2 linked regions of the Stegostoma tigrinum genome follow. The protein of the gene in region 1 interacts with the protein of each later gene in a pairwise test. Links are inferred from orthologs where the notes say so. Each region holds a gene or a part of one and is shown in the gene's direction. Other genes may lie near its edges.

What was found.
Region 2: the proteins of vasculin-like (region 1) and fibronectin type III domain-containing protein 11-like interact in binary tests that used the Homo sapiens proteins (3 or more experiments, as listed by UniProt). The link is inferred for Stegostoma tigrinum from reciprocal best matches to the Homo sapiens genes GPBP1 and FNDC11.

The regions. Positions count from the first base shown.
Region 1 is NC_081354.1:123,792,657-123,802,600, reverse strand, and holds the start of vasculin-like, read left to right. Parts: upstream 1-5,540; 5' UTR 5,541-5,678; intron 5,679-5,724; exon of another isoform or gene 5,725-6,264; intron 6,265-8,880; 5' UTR 8,881-9,052; intron 9,053-9,245; 5' UTR 9,246-9,301; coding exon 9,302-9,364; intron 9,365-9,944. UniProt on the Homo sapiens protein: Functions as a GC-rich promoter-specific transactivating transcription factor.
Region 2 is NC_081372.1:36,213,111-36,223,484, forward strand, and holds the start of fibronectin type III domain-containing protein 11-like, read left to right. Parts: upstream 1-6,168; 5' UTR 6,169-6,197; intron 6,198-10,374.

The DNA.
Region 1 (9,944 bases):
TATTTTTGTGTCATTCACAAACTTGGCAATAATACATTCACTTCTCTCATTTGAATCGTATATATGTAATAAGTAATTGTGACCTCATCACTGATCCTTGTCGCATCCATAAGTTACAGGTTGGCTTCTTCAATATGATTTTCTCATCTTAACTCTTCGTCTTCTTTTAGTTAGCTGGTTGTCAATCCATGCTAATGTGCGATCCTCAACACCATGAGCTCTTATTAAATTTTGTGGGGTACCTCATTGAATATACCTGTCAAAAATGTAAATATGTCATATTTACTGGTTCCCTTTTATCTGTCCTGTTTGTTACATCCACAAAGAATTCTAATCGATTCAAAGAATAAAGAACAAAGAAAATTACAGCACAGGAACAGGCCCTTCGGCCCTCCAAACCTGCGCCGATCGAGATCCTCTGTCTAACCTGTCATCTATTTTCTAAGGGTCTGTGTCCATTTGCTCCCCACCCATCCATGTACCTGTCCAGAAATATCTTAAAAGACACTAACGTGTCTGCGTCCACCACCTCTGCTGGCAACGCGTTCCAGGCACCCACCACTCTCTGCGTAAAAAACTTTCCACGCATATCTCCCTTAAACTTTCCTCCTCAATTGGCATTCCTTCAATTGGCATAACTTTGTTTTCATGCAGCTGTATTGATTCTGCTTGATCATAAAGGATATAATAGTAGAGAATTTAGAAATACATCATTTTTTGTAATGATGAGGCTATCATTTACTGCCTGTCGCTTTTTGCCCTTGAGAAGATGGTTGGAAGCTGCCTTCTTGAACCACTGTGGTCCACATTCTGTAGGTAGATTCACATTGGAATTCCCTCCCTAATGGCATTGTGTCTCCATTATCTCTGTAGCTACTTGCTCTAATATCCCAGGATGTAACCAACTGGGGCCAATGGACCAATTAATCTTAAGCACCATCAGTTTCCCTCATAGACTTTTTCTCAAGTAATAGTTATTAAATTCATTTCTTCCTACCTTCTGCCCTTGTTAATTTGGTATTTTTGGAATGCCAGTAGTTTTGTCTACTGTGAAGACTGTTGCAAAGTAGTTATTTAGCTCTTCCGCTATTTCTCCCTTCCCTCCCCCACCACTTCGTCTCATCTCTGTCCCATACACACTCATTACAGCCTTGGACAAAAGCATTAAATTCCAGATGTGAGGTGAGAGTGACAGCCTTTTACATCAAGTCTGCATTTGACCGACTGAGTGTACCATTAAGGAGTCCTAACAAAACTGGAATCAGGGACAAACACTCCAGTGGTTGGAGTCATAACCTGGCACCTGGGAAGATGGTTGTGGTTGTGGGAAGTCAGTCATCTCAGCTCCAGAATATCTTTACAAGAGTTCCTCAAGGTCATGTTCTGGGCTTAACCATCTTCAACTGTTTCATTAATGACCTTCCCTCCATCATCAGGTCAGGAATGGGAATGTTTGCTAATGATTTTGCAATGTTCAGCACCATGCACGGCTCATTGGATACTGAAGCAGTCCATAGTTAAATGCAAAAAGAGTAAACCTACACAATATCCAGGTTTGGGCTGACAAGTGGCAAGTAACCTTCATGCCATGCTAGTGCCAGGCAATGACCATCTCCAACAAGAGACAATTTAACCACCATCCCTCGACATTCAGTCATGCTCCCATCACTGATTTCCCCCTCTATCAACATCCTTCGGGTTACCATTGACCAGAAACTCAACTTGCCGTATAAAACAACGGCTACAAGAGCAAGTCAAAGGCTAGGAATGCTGCAGTTAGTAATTCTCCTCTTGGCTCCCCAAAGCATATCCATCACCAAAATGGCACATGTCAGGAGTGTCATGGAATACTCTCACTTGCTTGGGTGCATACAGCTCCAAAAACATTCAGGAAGCTTGACACCATCCAAGACTAAAGTCACCAACTTGATCAGCACTATAGCAACAAACATTCATTTCCTGTCCCAAAAACACTCAGGATCAACATTGTGCATGGCCTACAAGATGCACTGCAGAAATTTGCCAAAAATCTTGGACAGCACCCTCCAACTCCACAACCATTTCCATCTAAAAGGGCAGCAGATGTATGAAAAAACACCACTCACTGCAAGTTTGCCTCAAAGCCACCATCCTGACTTGGAATGTCACTGTTCCTTCACTGTCGCTGAGTCAAAATCCTGGGATTCTCTCTATAATGGGATTGTGGGCCTACCAGCAGCACACAGACTGCCGCGATTCAAAAAGACAGCTCACCACCACTTTCTTAAAGGCAGCTAAGAACAAGCCATAAATGGCAATCAGCCAGCAATTCCCAAATCCTATGACAGAATAAGAAAAGCACATCCTCTCTCTCCCACAACATACTCATCTCTCCTTCTTTCATGCTCTCTTGCTGTGTCCCTTCCTTCTCCCCTTGCGCAGTCTCTCTCCCTTCTGCAGATTCTCTCTTCCTCCCTCACACACTCTTTCTTCCTGTCCCTTATACCCTACCTCCTGTTCCTTAACACCCTCTCTCTTTTCCTCTCTCACTATTTGCCTCTCTCAGGTACACTCTCTCTTTGTCTGGCTAACTGAGCTTCACTCCACCCAGCAACAACACTTTCAACCTCTGGACTTTGTGGCACACATTGTCTCCACTCTGACATACACTTCTGTTTTTCTAGTTATGAAGGTATGTTCTTGCTGTTGCTGCCACTCCTCTTCCTCATGGCCTTCCCAAATGCACCACCATTTTGAGTTCCTTCAGTGCTCTAGCAGTAGGACAGCAAGAAGTTAATGTTGAAGTTGGATAATTAGAATTAGATTTTATTGTCATGTGTACTTACGTACAGGGATACAAGAGTACAGTGAAAAGTGTACAATGTCACCATTCTTGGCACCATCTTAGGTACAAGGTAGAAAAATAAGTAATAGAGTTAAACATTCAACATTAAAGTACTTTGTACTTGTATAAAGTACAAAAATAAAGGAATGAAGTTAAAAGTTCCACGTTAAAGTCTTCTTAAGTGCTTAGCCATGTTTGACTTGCACTCCGCGCATGGGTGCAATCTCCTCCTTGCTGAGCTCGATCTTCTCTGCGTTAGGCATGCTCTTCACCACCACAGTGCTGGGCTCGATGTCCGCCACGCTGGTCTCGATGTCCCCCACGCTGGGCTCAATCTCACTGCACAGCACCGTAGTCAACTCCCTCCACTGCTGCTGCTGGGAACAAACTTTGGCTCAGATGTGCTGGACACCTTGATTCCACTGATCTCTCCACAGAAAGTAAATAGATTAAAGTAAGAAAAGAAAACTTTGGAAGAAAAAAGGGTATAAGACACTTATTAGACCTCAGATGAAAGACTGTTTACAGTAACAGCACCACATTGCAGGAAAGATTTGAATGCATTGGAGAGAGTACAGAAGCAATTTACAACAATGCTTCCAGAAAAAAAAACTTCAGTTCTGAGGATAGGCTGAAGAAGTTGGATTGTTTTCCTTGGAGCGAAGAAGACTGAGAAGAGATTCAGTCGATGTCTTTAAAGTCGTGAGTGGGCTGATAGTTAGGGAGGAACTTCTCCCACTCATAAAATACAAAAGAGTGAGCAGGCATAGATTTTGAATTGATGAGCAAAAGAAGCAAGGGTGATGCAAGAAAAACATTTTATTGTACAGTGACTGGCAGAAGGTAGAGTAGAGTTCTTTTTCAGGTTGAGATTGCTGAGCGCTTGCAAGTGCGCACTAAAACAGGATGGAGTCAGCATGATTTCATCATGGCAAGGTCATACCTGGCAAATCCATTAGAATTCTTTGAGGAAGTAACAAGCAAGTTAGACAAAGGATAGCCAGCATACATGATTACTTAGATTTCCAGAAGGTCTTTCACAATATGCTGCACAGGAGACTGATAAAAAAGAGCTCATACCCAGACACAAAAACAGAAGTTGCTGGAAAAGCTCAGCAGGTCTGGCAGCATCTGTGAAGAGAAATCAGAGTTAAAGTTTCGGTTCCGTTGACCCTTCCTTAGAACTGTTCCGAGGAAGGGTAATCAGATCTGAAACATTAACTCTGATTTTTCTTCACAGATGTTGCCAGACCTGCTGAGCTTTTTCAGCAATTTCTATTTTTGTTTCTTATTTACAACATCCACAGTTCTTGTGGTTTTTATTAAGAGCCCGTGGTGATAGGGGCAAGGTACTGGCATGGGTAGAGGATTGGTTGACTGGCAGATGGGTCTTTTTCAGAATGGCAGCGGCAATTAGTGAAGTTCCACATGGGTCTGTGTTGGCAACACAACTATTCATGTCAGACATCAACAATCTGAATGAAAGAGCTGACAGCATTGTTGCTAAGAGATAATGGGAACTGCAGATGCTGAAGAATCCAAGATAACAAAGTGTGAAGCTGGATGAACACAGCTGGCCAAGCAGCATCTCAGGAGCACAAAAGCTGCAAGGGTCCAGACCCGAAACGTCAGCTTTTGTGCTCCTGAGATGCTGCTTGGCCTGTTGTGTTCATCCAGCTTCACACTTTGTTAGCATTGTTGCTAAACTTGCCGATGACACAAAGATAGATGGACGGACAGTTTGAGTTGAGGAAGACGACAGGCTAGGAGATTGAGTAAAGAGGCAGATGGAATGCAACCTGGGAAAGTGTGAGGTTCTGCATCTTTGTAGGAAGAATTGAGGTGCAGATTATTCTCTAAATGGGGAAAGACCTCAGAAATCTGAAACACAGAGGGACTTGGGAGTTCTGGTTCTGGATTCTCTGGCGGTTAACATGCAATTTCATTTGGCAGTTAGGAATTCAAAAGCAATATTAGCATTCATTTCAAGATGGCCCTGTATTTAAGGATGTGCTGGTGTTGCAGGGAGTCCACAGAAGGTTTACAAGAATGATCTCAGAGATGAAGGGCCTGTCGTATGAAGAACAGTTGATGATCATGTACTTGACAGAGTTTAGAATATGAGGGGGGAACAGTTTGAAACTGAAAAGCCTGGACCTGGAGATATTTCCACTCAATCATGGAGCAGGTCAACTCAGGCTCCTACCCCCAGGGCAATACGATGGCTCAATGGTTAGCACTGCTGCCTGACGGCACCAGGGACCTGGGTTTGATTCCAGCCTCGAGAGACTGCCTGTGTGGAGTTTGCATATTCTCCCCGTGTCTGTGTGGGTAGCCTCCCACAGTCTGACGATGTGCAGGTTAGGTGGATGGGCCACGCTGAATCGTCCATAGTGGGAAATGCAAGGATAGGGTAGGGGATTGGTATGGGTGGGATGCTCTTCGGAGGATCGATGTGGACTTGATGGGCCGATTAGTCTGCTTCCACACCGTAGGGATTCTGTTCTATGATTCTGATCGATATTGGATTTAACTGCAATCTGAGTTTTCAATGTCCGCGTCGACCGACACAAACGATACACCACAGAACAGGCGACGCGCATGCTCAGCGGTGTCGCCCGGTGTCTGGTGGCGCGCAGGCGCATAGCTCAGGCGGCAGTGGCACGCAGGCGCAGAGGGGATTTTTCAGGGGGCTCGCCAAGGGTTGAGGGCGGATCTCGCGTGATCTGAAGCCTGGCCTTTAAATTTATTTTCCCATTGGATGACCCTTGGTGCAACGTCACTCCCTGCCGGGTCAAACAGTAAATTGTATTTAATTTCCAGATTACAGGTTAAAATGAAGTGCGTGGGAAAGGTGAGGTCGCTCAGTTGGTGATGGGAATGGCAGTATCCTGTTTGCCCAGTGCCCTGTTTATTGACCGAGATGGAAGTTTGTACTTTGCTTTTGTCCCTGATTTTTATTTTCGTCCTGACGTCATTGAAGCGACCGGCCCGTGTCGTCATCACGTGGTGCCTGATGTCGCTTAAGTTTAGAGATTGTGGAGGCGCTGGAAGAGTTTGAAGATTAATTTTGAATATAGAAAGGAGCCATCTCCCTGTCTCACTTTGGTTGCATCTGTATCTGTTGTTGGTGATGCTTTGTCCTTCCTGTGTTTGTAGTTTCTTCTCGCTTTCAAAACGGCCAATTTCCTAAACCTTTTCATTCATTCCGCTTTCCCAAATATTTACAAACGTGGAGAATTTCTGAGGCCTAATTGTCGCTGTTTGTAAACAAGAATAAGAAACAGTTGTTTGTTGGTTATACTTCACTTTTTGCTGCCAAGTTCTTGAAAGAATTTTCTTCTATTCAATTTGAGCATTAGTGAACGTACCATTAATTACATCAGAGTGTTGCTTCATGTAACTCAACTTCACTGTTATGCCGCGGGATATCTGCAACAGTAAGTGTATACTTAACATTTTCAGATGTGTCATTTAAATACAGCTTTTCATACTGACTCTTATTTGAATATTACTTAATATGCTGCTTGGTTAAATATGCTAAGAGTTCATTTTGAAATTGAGCCTAACTAATTTTTTAAGCCTTCAGTTTTTTGGGTTGTGGCCTAAAACCATTGCAAAATGTTGTTTCTAAAATTAACTTTAACTTTAACTTAAACTTTTTAAACCTGTGTAATATTTTTGTCTTTCTTTGTGTAAATTTAAAAAAAAATTTCAATTGTTGGTAACAAATGAAGAAAGTAAGGTACAGTTGGAGTAAAAACACTTGTTTTGGATACAAGGGTTGTGGCTAATTGGGAATTCTGAGCTAAAAAGTTTATAAACTTCTGTAAATGAAAATTTTAGCACATAGGTTGAACTCAACTCTTACCTTTACAACCTGCATCTGAAATTTTTTGGTAACTAGTCTTAATGTGCTTAAACTTACTGTCAATTTTTAACCTAGTTTTGCTTCTGTGGGGTGAGCTTCTTGCATTAAAGCTATGATATGAATGTTGTACTATCAGAAGAAGAGGGAATTTACATGAATATGTAGCCATGTTAGCATGAATGAGTGTCATCTTTGTCAAATCTCTGGTGTTTGAAGATGCAGAGTAATTGTCACATGAATTTCTGAAAATGATGTATGCTAGCTGAAATGACTTAATTGAAGAGGTATGAGCTAGTGAGGAGTATGCACTGAACTGAAAATTTGTCAGTACAAGGCTTTTTTTTGGTTGTACTGCTGTGGTGTGAAGAATCAGAATTACGAGAGAAATTAAGAATGACTTGGACTTTGAAAAGTATCATGTGCCATCGTATGTGAATACACCAATCCCCCCTCCTTTTGGCATCTGAAATGATGCAAAGTATTTATTAGTTCATTTTCTAAAGATGTTCCTGAAGTGGATTCCACCCATCTCTTAACTTTCAGCTAATGGTGGTCACTAAATGAATGGTTAAACTTAAAGGGTGAAGTGATGGTTAGTGTAAGAAATAACAGTAGAAAAAAATTCAAGTAGTAAATTAGATGCTACTTTTCTGAACTTGCTGTGAAGAGACCTTGGTAGAAGAAAGTAAAGAGAGGTTTAATCTGGCTGCATTCTGTTTGAAATGCTGGATGCTGACACCTGCTGCCAACAGAAGGGAAAAATGTTTTGTTTATCAGTATTATTGACATTCCTCACATTGAGTACAAATGCTCTATTGATTTGTATGAGGGAAAATAAGATGTATTGGTAGTCTCTTTGCTATTTACAATAACCAAGTTTTCAAATGAGAGCCAGGTATCAGGTGAAGTTGATGTTGAGAATTTAAGGCACCTAGTGTATTTGTTTGAAGTGTTTTCTATTAATTTGTGCAAACTGCCACCTTTGCGAAGTGGCAGTTCATATTCATTCCTACCAGGTCTTGAAGAACTGGGAGGATGGCATGTTGGGAAGGATATATTTTGCTATTGGTGATTGTCAGCATGATTATCTTTTGTAGTTTTAGGTCTTTAATAACTGTATTTTACCTATGCGTATCGATTAGGTGCTGTTGATTTCCATCAAGACTTTGATATTAGTTGATCAAACTAGATATAAATGAATATCTCGGTAGAAACTGCATCCTTGGTGAATAAGTGGGTATTTTTGGGTAAATTGTATGATAGTATTCATGTTTAAACTTGTGTAAGTTTAAGTAAGAAAGAAAATAGCTATATTCAATATCCGTTCACCTCACTTTTTGTAGTTCTGACAGGTTGCCTAGTTACAGTAGAAGTGTAACAGAACACGTCTGTTTATCCATGTTGCAGTTTTGAGTTGCTGTTATGTCAAGATTAATTGGCTTCCTTTTGATCTGTTCCTTTTCTAATCAGTGTACAGTATTATTTTAAGTAACTTCTGTTCCTTTTTAAGGTATGACTTCAGTGAATTCAATTTTAAGCACTTCATGAAAACCTTGAGTTTGTGAATGAACATAGTACACTTTATAGGGTTAAAGGTGTAGCATGATTTAACTACATAAATGACTTCAGTGCTAGGTATTGCTTGGTGCAGTAGGGTTTTGTGCTTGGCTGTGAGGTAGCTTTCACTTACTTTCTGTCTGGAAATAAACATTGCTACAGTTACGCCACTATTGATAGCTCTTTTTGTACCAAGTCTTTATTTTTCTTTTCTATATTGTCCTCATTATTTATCTTGCTTAGTATAATCTCCATAGGAAATGGTAATATTTATGGAGTTGTGAACCTTTTCAGATTTTTCTCCACTTTTTTTCAACTAGCCTCCATGGGCTGAAGTAGGTGCAATATTTGTGTACATTCTAACACTAGAAAGAATACAAGTTTTACTGAGAACCAAAGCTTCATATTATTGACTTTTTTAAAAAAAAGTCCACACTCTATACATCATTAACTGCCCAAACTGGTAGTAATGATTATCTACTACTCATTGCATTTCCTAAGGCACATTGCAATTATTTCACTGCAAAAAAAAGCACTTTGTGTAAAAATTCTCACCAACAAATCAGATGGACAAGGTACATTGGATTTCTTGACAATGTCTAATTTCCTTTCATGTACATTTCTACAGTTTTCCAACCTTTTATCAGGTTCATACAGCAATAAATGCTGATGCGGTTAAAACTGGAAAAATGAATCTTTGAATGACCCTTGGGTTGTGCTGCGATGAAAAGAAGCAGAGTCGTGTGGTGCTGTTGCTGGGAAGTTCACACTGTGGAATTGCTCCCTTTTGGTGAAGAAAGGTACATTGATAGATCCTGAATTATGATAAGACAATAATGCACTGATCTGTTGCTAGCCTTTGTTATTTTCTAATTTTTCATTCTTAAAAAAACAACGACAAATAAAAAGGTTAAAATAGGTTTTGTTTATTCTGAGTTACATTGAGGAAACAGAAGTCGACTCAAGATAATCATATGTATTTTACACTTATAGGGATCTGCCATGAGGTGTTGATACCATATTTTAAAACCCTGAGACATAGGACCTAAATGGCGCAGCATGACTTTGCTCCAGCCTGGCTTAATTTTCCAACTCCACCTTCATCAACTAAGGTATTAGAATACACCATTTAACTTTTGCATTTTCTGATATTTGAACAGCTCACTTTTTTGGTTCACAATATTTGTTTCACAAGGATTCTTTTGTGTACAAGTGGAATATTCAATTCTTATAACTGCAGTACGTAAGAATGTGTTTTTTCTAGTTGAGGACGAATGTTGCTTGTGCTTTGTTTTGTAAACTGATTTTAATTGGACTGTTTAATTAAGTTGTAATATGGATTTTTAAAAAATCTATTATTTCCTTGTAATAGATTAACTCTTGAAATCTCAGTGACTGCTTTCCATTGATCAAGTGTTAAATCTTGTTTTTCAATATAAATTGGAATGCACTAACTTCTATTATTAGACATAAAACATAAAAATTTCAGAGCATAAATTGTAGCCATTTGGCCTCTTAATTGTCTGTGTCCTCTTTTTGGTAGAGAATTCAAAATGAATGCAGTTTCCCCAAAATGTGTTTTTACTTTCTTTGCACTCAGTTTTCTTTTAAATGATGCAATCATACTTCAACTGCTCAGAGTTGCAATAAAATTCCAAATTTCAATAATTTCAGACCACAAATTTAGAACCT
Region 2 (10,374 bases), on another chromosome or scaffold:
CCTCTAGCCTACCTGCCTATTTCACAACATCCTCCTCTACAACTAGGTCCCTCTCAGCTGTGAATACTGAAGAAAAGTATTCATTAAGGACGTCTCCTCTCTCTTTAGGCTCTGTGCACAAATTCCCTCCTCAATCCTTGATCGGACATACCCTTTCTATGGTCATTCTCTTGTTCTGTACATACATGTAAATAGCTTTGGAGTTTTCCTTGATCCTATCTGCCAAGGTTTTCTCCTGCCCCCTTAGCTCTCCTAAGCTCTTGCTTCAGCTCCTTCCTGGCTAAGTTATATCCCTTTAGAGCCTTTCTGTTCCTCTTTTCGTAAACCGTACATAAGCCTCCCTCTTCTTCTTAACCAGTCGTTCGACCTCTCTCAAGAACCATGGCTCCCTTACTCAACCTTATCTTCCCTGCCCACTAGGGACAAACATATCAAGCACATGCAGTATGCATTCCTTAAACAATCTCCACATTTCTACAGTGCTCTTCCCTGACAGCATCTGTTCCCATTTTATGTTACCCAGTTCTTGCCTAACAGAATTGTATTTACCCTTCCCCCAATCATAAACTATACCCAGCTGTATGTACCTATCCTTACCCATGACTATCATGAAAGAAACAGAGTTATGATCGCTACCACCAAAATCCTCTCATACCAACAGGTCTAACACTTGGTCCGATTCGTTGCCAAGCACCAAATCCAAAGTGGCCTCTCCTCATGTTAGTCTATCTACATATTGCACCAGGAATCCTTCCTGAATGCACTGGACAAATTCCGCTCCATCTAAACTATTACAACTAAAATGTTTCCAATCAATATTTGGAAAGTTGAAGTCACCCATGACTACAACCCTGTGACTTCTGCACCTTTCCAGTATCTGCCTCCCAATCCACTCCTCCACTTCTCTGCAACTATTAGGGGGTCTGTCAAAAAGTCCCAATAAAGTGACTGCTCCTTTCTTGTTCCTGACCTCAACTCAAACTGACTCTGTAGATATATCATTCTCGAACTGTCTTTCAGTAGCTGTTATACTCACCCTGTCTAGCAATTCCACTCTCCCAACTCTTTTTCCACCCTCCCTATTTGTTTTAAAGCATCTAAGTCCCAGAACTTCCAGCAACCCTTTCTCTCCCTGAATTATTCAAATTCCTGTAATGGCCACAACATCGTAGTTCCAAGTGCCGACTCATGCTCTAAGTTCATCCGCTTTATTTCTGATACTTATAACATTGAAGTATACACACCTCAAACCATTTCAGTGTCCACCATTATGCTCTATCGACTGCATTTCTTTATAAACCACCTCACTCCCTGTTGTGTCTGTTGGAAGGCCGAATACCTCATCCTCTGAATTACAAATCCAGTTCCCAACGCCCTGCCAATTCAGTTTAAACCACCCCGTACAGCTCCCTCCCAGGATATTTGTGCCCTTCTGGTTCAGATGCAACACCTCCTTACTGTATAGGTCCCACCTTCCCCAGAATGTGTTCCAATTATCCACATAAATATCTAGACGTTTCCTTTTCTTTTGGCTGTCCCTTTTATTTCTGCTTCTGTTTTTAATCCAATCCTTTGTATCCTAAGATGTTGCCAGAGAATAGTGACTTTGTGCACTTTTCACTGTATTACTGTATTTCTGTTTTCAGGTACACACGACAATAAAAAATTTAAATTGAAAACTAAATCTAAATTTCATTCTGGCCTAGCCGATAATGGTTACATCTTATGAACAAATATTAAAAAAACCTCTCAAAAAATCCCATGAAAATATTTTACTCTTGAATAACATGGACCTGCATTTGATGCATGTGAACTGAGATCCAAATTCATTTCTCATATATTGCAAATAGACACAAGCCTATACTCTCAAAGGTGTAAACAAATGTATGATGGAATGCTGAGATAACAAGGTGTAGAGCTGGATGAACACAGCAGGCCAAGCAACAGCAGAGGAGCAGGAAAGCTGAAGAAGGGTCTGGGCCCGAAACGTCAGCTCTCCTGCTCCTCTGATGCTGCTTGCCCTCTGTGTTCATCCAGCTCAATTCCTTGTTATCTCAGATTCTCCAGCATCTGCAGTTCATACTATCTATGATGGAATACTGTTGGAATGCCATTTTGCCTTAGAATCATAGTCTGGATGCAAGAAATCTACAGCTAGAGAATTTAGCGAATGGCAAAAGCACTGTTTTCCATGAATCTGAAGGAATTAAAGAAATCAAACAAACTTTCTAGTTTACAATATTCACTCTGTTGTGTCCCACATGCCATTTTTTTGTGATTTCAAAAGCATTATTATCAGTAGGTTATCTTCATCTTGCTCATTCTCTTGGCTCCATTACAAACATTTGTCACCAGAAAGTGCAAGCCATCACAACTGTAAGTTTTAGAGATAATGGGAACTGCAGATGCTGGAGAATCCAAGATAACAAAGTGTAGAGCTGGATGAACACGGCAGGCCAAGCAGCATTTTAGGAGCACTAAAACTATGTTTTGGGCCTAATGTTTAGGCTCAAAACATCAGCTTTTGTACTCCTAAGATGCTGCTTGGCCTGCTGCGTTCATCCAGCTCTACACAATTGTAAGTTTTCACAGTTATGTTATGTCAAAAACATCACATTCTACTTCTCCGCACGTTCTTCCCTCAAGATTTTCCAACTGTCATCCCAACATTATGATGGTATACAAGCTCAAGTTTCTTGCAGGTTAATACTGGCAAAGCCAAAGCTATTTTTTTTTCAATTGCCACTAGCATCTATATACCCATGAGCTTTATTCCGTCAATTTCTCCAAGAGTTTAATCAGATTAAATATACACCTAGACACACAGTCAAGGCTTGGATCCTTAATTGTGGCATAGCATGTTGAGTTCATTAGCTCAATTTCTCATGATAATTTTCAATCTACAAAATTCTCCTCCGTCTTTCCCACTCCCACCCCTGCCTCATTCTTACACAAATGTACTGGAATAGACATAAAGACAACATAACAAACTAATGCTGTAATTTAAGAGGTTTACTTTTAAATACTAAAATGACAGAAGCAACCTGCTATTATGTTCATTTCATTCAAGACTGATACATTTCCTGTTCATAACATTGTTCCGTTGTAAATGAAAGTATTTGAAAATGTTGGCACATAGTGTTATCTACCATGAGAACAAAGAGTGAAGTCAAACGCAAAATATAAATCTAATTTTGGATCCAGGTTTGCATTATGCTTGACTAGAAAGTGAAATCACAGAATGCTGTTAATCTTTGTTTTATCTCTGCTGTTTGCTACAACCCAAGTCCTGTATTATAAGTTGGAAGTGAGATGTATCAGAGTGAACATACTTTATGTTTAACGCTTCACGGCATGATATAAAGGTTAACCTCATGGCTCCTGAGGGAACAGCTGTGGGGGCTTAAATCACATGATCTTGCATGTATAAACTTGTCTGTCTGTTGTAAAGGTACAGATCTACAAAGATATTAAAAATGGGCTTTGTATTAATGGTTCATGGAGGGATAAATACTCAGTCGGATTGATGAAGGTAAAAACAAAGGCTTCTTCCAGTATTTGGGTCAACTTTCCTCCCTCATCAGTGCCAGCAGAAAAAAACACAATAACTGATCTCACATTTCATTACTGTCTGTGGTATATTGCTTTGCACAAAATGGGCTTCACAATGTTGATACATGAAATTACATGCTTTAGAAGTTCAGAAAACTCAAATCTTTCAGAGTAACAGATGTTCACTACAATATTGCATAAGGCAGAATTGATGGCAACTCAAAAAGTGTTGAACTGTGTCTATAAAGCTTAATATGGGTGAAGGCTAACATTTCCGGTAAAAATCAAATTTTAAATTTTAGTCATCGATAAAGCACATGTACAACTTTGCCTGTCTTGGCTTCTACACAGTGCTTTTGTTACCTCAAAGATTGAGTTCTCAAACTTTCTCTTTGTTTAATTCATTATATTTGAATGACTATTACACGAATGAAAGTTACTGGCTTTCTCTTTCTGTTGTAAGTGATGTATATTTTGATATTATTTGTTACAGTTCAGATTTTGAGTTCATCTTTTCAGTCACAACAATAAGCCAAGTCTTACAATACTCCTAATCAATGTTTTGTAAAGCAAATTGTTTTGTTTTGTTGCATTTTTATGTATATTTTACAACACACAAAACTTAATTTTTTTAAATTTCCTTACCTGAAAGAATTTTAGCAACCCACTCCATTATAAAAATACTTCGGTGCTTTTTCATGTTCAATATATCAATAGACAGTATCAACAATTTAGAAATGTTTTCTGATGTTTAAATTGTATTGTTAAGTTTGTATAATTTGAAACATTTACTTAAAAACAAAAGAAGGAGGATTAAAGTCAATTCTCCTTTTGACTTCAAGTGGAAGGGTAATTGCTACAGACCTTTTCTCCTGACATTTTATCCATCATTTTTTTGAATTAATAAAATGGAAAATATAATCTAATATTAATGATTATTAGTATAGAGCAGTTCCTTCATTACAAAAGATATTCAGAGAGATTTTCCAGCTTTGTAGCTCCTTAACAATGTTGTGCAGTTGATAATAAGTAGCTTGATCTCAAAATGAATGATATTAATGGATATGTAATAGGTATCTGACAATATCTTTGTAGTTTTGGCAATTTGTTGGAGTCAGAAAGAAGAGACATAATAGCAACATGCAGCAAATAACATCTTAGAGTGAAGACAACATAACTGGTCTTGTCAGATAAAGTACACTTGTTTCAGTCGAATACCAAGAACAGTCATTAGAATCATCTTGAGGAATCAACAGATTAAAGTATAATGAGCCAAGATAGATTTTGTACAATTTCAGAGATGTTTAATGTTCCCTTACCTTTAATAACCAGATATAATATTAATTTTCTGCTCTGAAGCTCCACATAAAATAATTTTCATGTTGGAGGCTGTTGAAATTAGGCATTTATGTTTTTGTATATAGATTGGGTCCATAACAGATGGGGTTGTTATAAATATTATGCCAAGCAGAATAGAATATTTGGTGCCAATAGTACAGTTCTCTCTCAGAACATAACTGAACAAAATCAGTAAAGTGCCAACGATTTTCAGCTAAATATGATTAGTACAATGCCAATCATTTGCCAATTAGCTCAGTATATGGGACAAACACAGAACAAAATGGATTAGAATAAATGTATAATGCTAGAGATTTAGCTCCTAGGTTCTTTTATACTAACATATTAAAAAATCAATTCCTAGATGCCTGCAAACAATGGGAGACAGTTTAGCATAATTTAATGGTTGAAACGGATACCCTGAAAATATTACATTGTTCATAGAACCACAGGATTGTTATATCTTCCCATTGTGCCTGCATTATCTAATGTCAGTCTCCTGCCTTTACCCCACATCCCTGCAGACCATAACAATTCAAACAAAAATCTAATGTCCTCCTGAATGCTTTTTACGTGGTATATTTAATTTTTGGCTTGTTTAACCATTTGTTTTAGTGAATGCAGCACATTATGGACTAGTCTGAGTTTCTGAAGCTCAAAAACTGTGAATAATATAACCATATCCTTTATGCATGTAGCCAGACGGTACATCATCCATTAAATCAAACATACAACAGTTCAAAACCTAAATTCACACATAATTTAGTTGGCAGCACTCTGCTGGTACTACTCTGAAGTAAGTAGTAAAACATAAAAGTTAGAGATCTGAATAAATATGTTCAATTTAACATCACTAAACAAATGCATCCTCAGTGATTAAGAGCTCCCCATTATTGCCATAGAGGAATCACTACATGATTACTGGGACATGAGAATTGGCATCCCCATAAGTCTTTTCTTAATGAGCTTGAACTTGAAATGTTGACTCTGTTTTTCTCTCCACAGATGCTGCCAGACCTGCTGAGTTTCTCCAACGCTTTGTTTTTGTTTCAGATCTCCAGCATCTGCAGTTCTTTGTTTTATACTATTGTGATATTGAGCCTCATTGGTCTGTGTAGTGAAGGTCCTCTCTCGGTGGCTTTCGGATGAAACATCCATGAATGTGATCCAACTGTAAAGAAACAACATTTCCCAATTACAATAGTGTGGGAGGAGATGATGGAGGTGGTGGATATCCCAATTAATCTGCTTTGTTCCTCCAGGGGAAGGATGTTAGGGATTGTGGAATTGCTGCTGAAGAGGATTTGGTGAGTTGTTGCAGTGTGTCTTATACATTCTGTGATGGAGTGAGTGAATGCTTATGGTGAAACGGGAGCTATTGATCAAGTATGCTGCCTTCTTCCAGCTGGTATCAAGCTTCCTGAGTTTTAGAGCTGCACTTATCTGGACAGTATTTCATAACATTCCTGATTGGAATCTTTTAAGTAGTGTAAAAACTTTGAAGAGTCAGGAGGTGAGTCACTCACTGCAGAATACCAGCCTCTGACCTGTTCCTGGAAGCACCCATTGTGATAACTGCCCAGATGTTGAAAGTGGGAAGTTCAGTGAAATTAATGCTATTGAATGTCAAGGGGAGATGGTTAAATTTTCTCCAAGGAGCATAGAAAGAAGTGGCACAGAAAGATGCCATTCAGTCCAACATGTCTGTGATGGTTTCAAAAGATCTATTCCAACTATTGGTTTCTAAACCAATAGGCTACAGTATTTTGAGCACATACCAAAGTATTTATTTGTTAAACAGGATGAGGATTTTTGCTGCTCCCATCCTTTCAGGCAGTGCGTTCCAGACTCTGACCACCTTCTGGCTGAAAATGTTACTTCTTAATTCCTCCCTAAATCTTCTATTAAACTGTTTAGGACTATGTCTCTCACCCTCTTTATTGACATTGGTGGTAAGAGAAATAAATTCTTTCTACCTATTTATTGCAGCCATTCATATTCTTATTGAGCTCAATTATGTCGCCTCTTCATTTCTTGCAATCCAAAGACAATAACCCTAGCCTATTCAGTCTTCTATATATTATCTATTATGATTACATTCTTCCTATAATGTAGAGACAAGAACTGTATGAAGTCCTCTACCTGTCACCTAACAAGTGTCTTATATGTTCTTTCCCCCAATATCCCTCCAAAAAGGAACACCACATATGTTGATCTATCCTCTTTCAAGGACACTAAATTCATAAATGTTTTCTCTTTGACCTGTTACATCCTGGGATCCGTGAAAATGCACTGTTATGTGCCTCTCTTTCTCTACACCATTCAGAACATGATTGCTCATTGTGTATTTCTTTCCCTTGTTTGTCTCTTCAAATACATTTCCTCACATTTCTGCAGATTGACTTGCATTTGCCACTTTTCTACCCACCTTAGCAGTCCGTCGATATTTTTCTGCAGGCTGCAGCTCTTCTTCCTCATTATCATTCATACAGTCAAATTTATGTATCACTTGCAAATTTCTCACTCATATCACATAAATGTAAGTCTAAAATGTGGATACATACCACATGCAAGATGCCATTGATTACCACTTTCGGTCAGCAGTCAAATTGAACTAAATTAATCAAATCACCAGAAAAGATTGCCACTTCTGTTTTTAGGAAGGAGGGAAGGTAACTGACAAAGCAGTTGAACTTGATTTGAGCAAATCACTGTAGATGCTGGAATCTGTACTGAAAACAACAAATGTTGGAGATCACAGCGAGTCAGACAGCATCCAAGGAGAGAGAGAGAGCAAGCCAGTGTTTCAAGTCGAGATAACTCTTCATCAGAGCTAAAATGAGGTGTGGAGGGGGGGCAGCATTTATGCTTTCATTGGCAGGTCAGTGTGGTGGTGGTGGGTTGTGGAGTGCTGGTGAAGAAAAGATGTTGATAGTTTAGATTAAGTGATTGGAATGTGAGAATGGCAGAACAGTGGTGTGTCTAAGTGCCAGAGAAGACAGTCCCACAGGTGTGGGGGAGGTGAGAGAGGACATGGTGACAGAGAATGTAGCAAGTAAAGCTAGAAAAAGGGAAGACCTGTTCTTCTCAGTTTCCCAGCTTCAACACAATATTGTTACATGGAAAAAAACCTACCAATTAAAATACAGGGCATAGATCCTCATTCATATCTTAAGAATACATTCAGTTTTGATGTCAAAGCCCAGGAAGGATATAACGGTCCTAGAGATGATCCAGCGCACATTTACATTTATAGAATGAGACAAGGCTTCAGGAGATTAAATTAAATGTGAATAAATGTGGCTTGTCTTACCTTGGTTACAATGAAACTGTTCAAAGTAATAAAAGATCTTGATCAAGTAAGTATGGAGAAAGTACTGCAGGAAATCAAAAGCAAGCACGAACAGTCTCTATTTTTTTAAATTCACACCTTTGTTATTTAATGCAGTAAATGAAAAATCCCTAGTACAGATTCATGAAACAATTTCATTCCCTGAAACAAATTAATTCCCTGAAACAAATTCTTGGCCTGCTCATGATCCGGAGTGGCTACAGCTTACGTGACATCAATTAAACAATTGAGTCAAAACTGACAATTAACAGAAACTGCTCTTGAATTACTTTCTCAACTTTTTGAAGAGTCTCTGGGCAATTGCAACATAAAATATGTCAATGATCTTTAATGAGTTTTACAATATTTTACTGAATAAACCAGGCAGAATGATGGTGAAAATTCAACGAGTTAGCTAAATCTCAATTTTATGAGTTCTGAGGATGGGTCACTTGACCCGAAATGTTAACTCTGATTTCTCTTCACAGATGCTGCTGAATTTTTCCAGCAATTTCTGTTTTTATTTCTCAACTTTAGAGCTTGATTTCATCCTATACAAACAATGTTGTGTTCAATATGCTATGAGAAATTTCCAATCATACTTTTTAGCAATGAGACCTACTTGTCACAACTCAGTGTCGAAAAATATTTACTTCATTGATACATTGATACAGTTGCTTGGGTAAAATACAGCTACGTCACTTGGACCTGATGAGTTATCCTAGGATATTAAAGGAAGTAGCTACAGAGATTTGATTGATTGATTGATTTATTTATTTATTGTCACATCGATTTTGTTCCAAATTCATTGAAAAGTGTTCAATGATGTCACTACTCTCCAGCACCATCTTAAAATGCAGAAAAACAAAAGATAGATATTAAAGACAGAAAAATAAAGAAATAATGAAAAGTTTTCAACTCGTTGTTAAATGCTCCATCCTGGTGGTCCCTGGGCCTAGTGACCAGGCATGAGTGGGTATGGTGGCTCGGTGGTTAGCGCTGCTGCCTCACAGTGCCAGGGACCTGGGTTCCATTCCACCTTTGGGTGACTGTCTGGGTGGAGTTTGCACATTCTCCCCATGTCTGCATGGTTTTGCTCTGGGCACTTCAATTTTTCCCAGGGTCCAAAGGTGTGCGGGTTAGGTGGATTGGCCATGCTAAATTGCCCAGTGTGTCCAGGAATGTTTGGTTGAATAGATTAGCCATGGGAAATGCTGGATTACAGGGTTAGGGTTGGGGGGTGTGGTCTGCCTTGAATTCTGTTTGGCGGGTTGGTGTTGACTTGTTGAGCTGAATGGCCTGCATCTACACTGTAGGGATTCTATGTTTTGATGATATTATGAGTCCCCTTTGTTGCGCCACTGTTGGAACGAACGTTGCCACCCTTCAGCGCTATCTTGTTTCTACTGATGCCTGCACCACTCTGAGCCCTCGCTGAACCTCACCAGTGCAGCTACCACCAATACTGCCAGGTATCGCATCTGCCCAGATGTGACTCCGCTGCCACCATGTGTCTGCTTCAAGCAGAAATATTACAAGAATCTTTTAGATTATGGAAAAGACCTAAACGATTGGAAAAGTGCGAATGTCACACCTTTATTCAAACAAACTATTTAGGCCAGTTAACCTAACATCTGTCATTAGTAAAATGTTAGAGCCTATTCTAAGGAATATAGTAACAGAGAATTTAGAAATGCATAATCTAACCAAGCAGAGTTAGCATCAGCTTTACAAAGGAGAAGCCAATTCTGACAAATTTATTAAAATACTTTGAAAAGGTAAAAGGTAGGATGGATAATGGGAACTCAGTAGATGTAATATATTTGGATTTCCAATATACATTTGATAAGGCACCACAGATAAAGCAAATTAATAAGAGCCCATGGCGGTTAGAGTAGGGTGTTGGCATAGGTAGAGAATTGACTAAATAAAAGCAAACAGAGAATTGGAATAAAAATAACATTTCCAGGATGGTAGGCCGTAACTGCTGGAGTGCAACAGTGTTGAATGCTGAATTTACAATTGTTTGGATGAGGAGAGTGAATGTACTATTGCCAAGCTTGCAGACAACACAAAAATAGTTGGGAAGGTAAGTGCTAAGAATAAAGCGATGAGTCTATAGAGGGATATAGAGAGGTTTAAGCTGTTGGTGA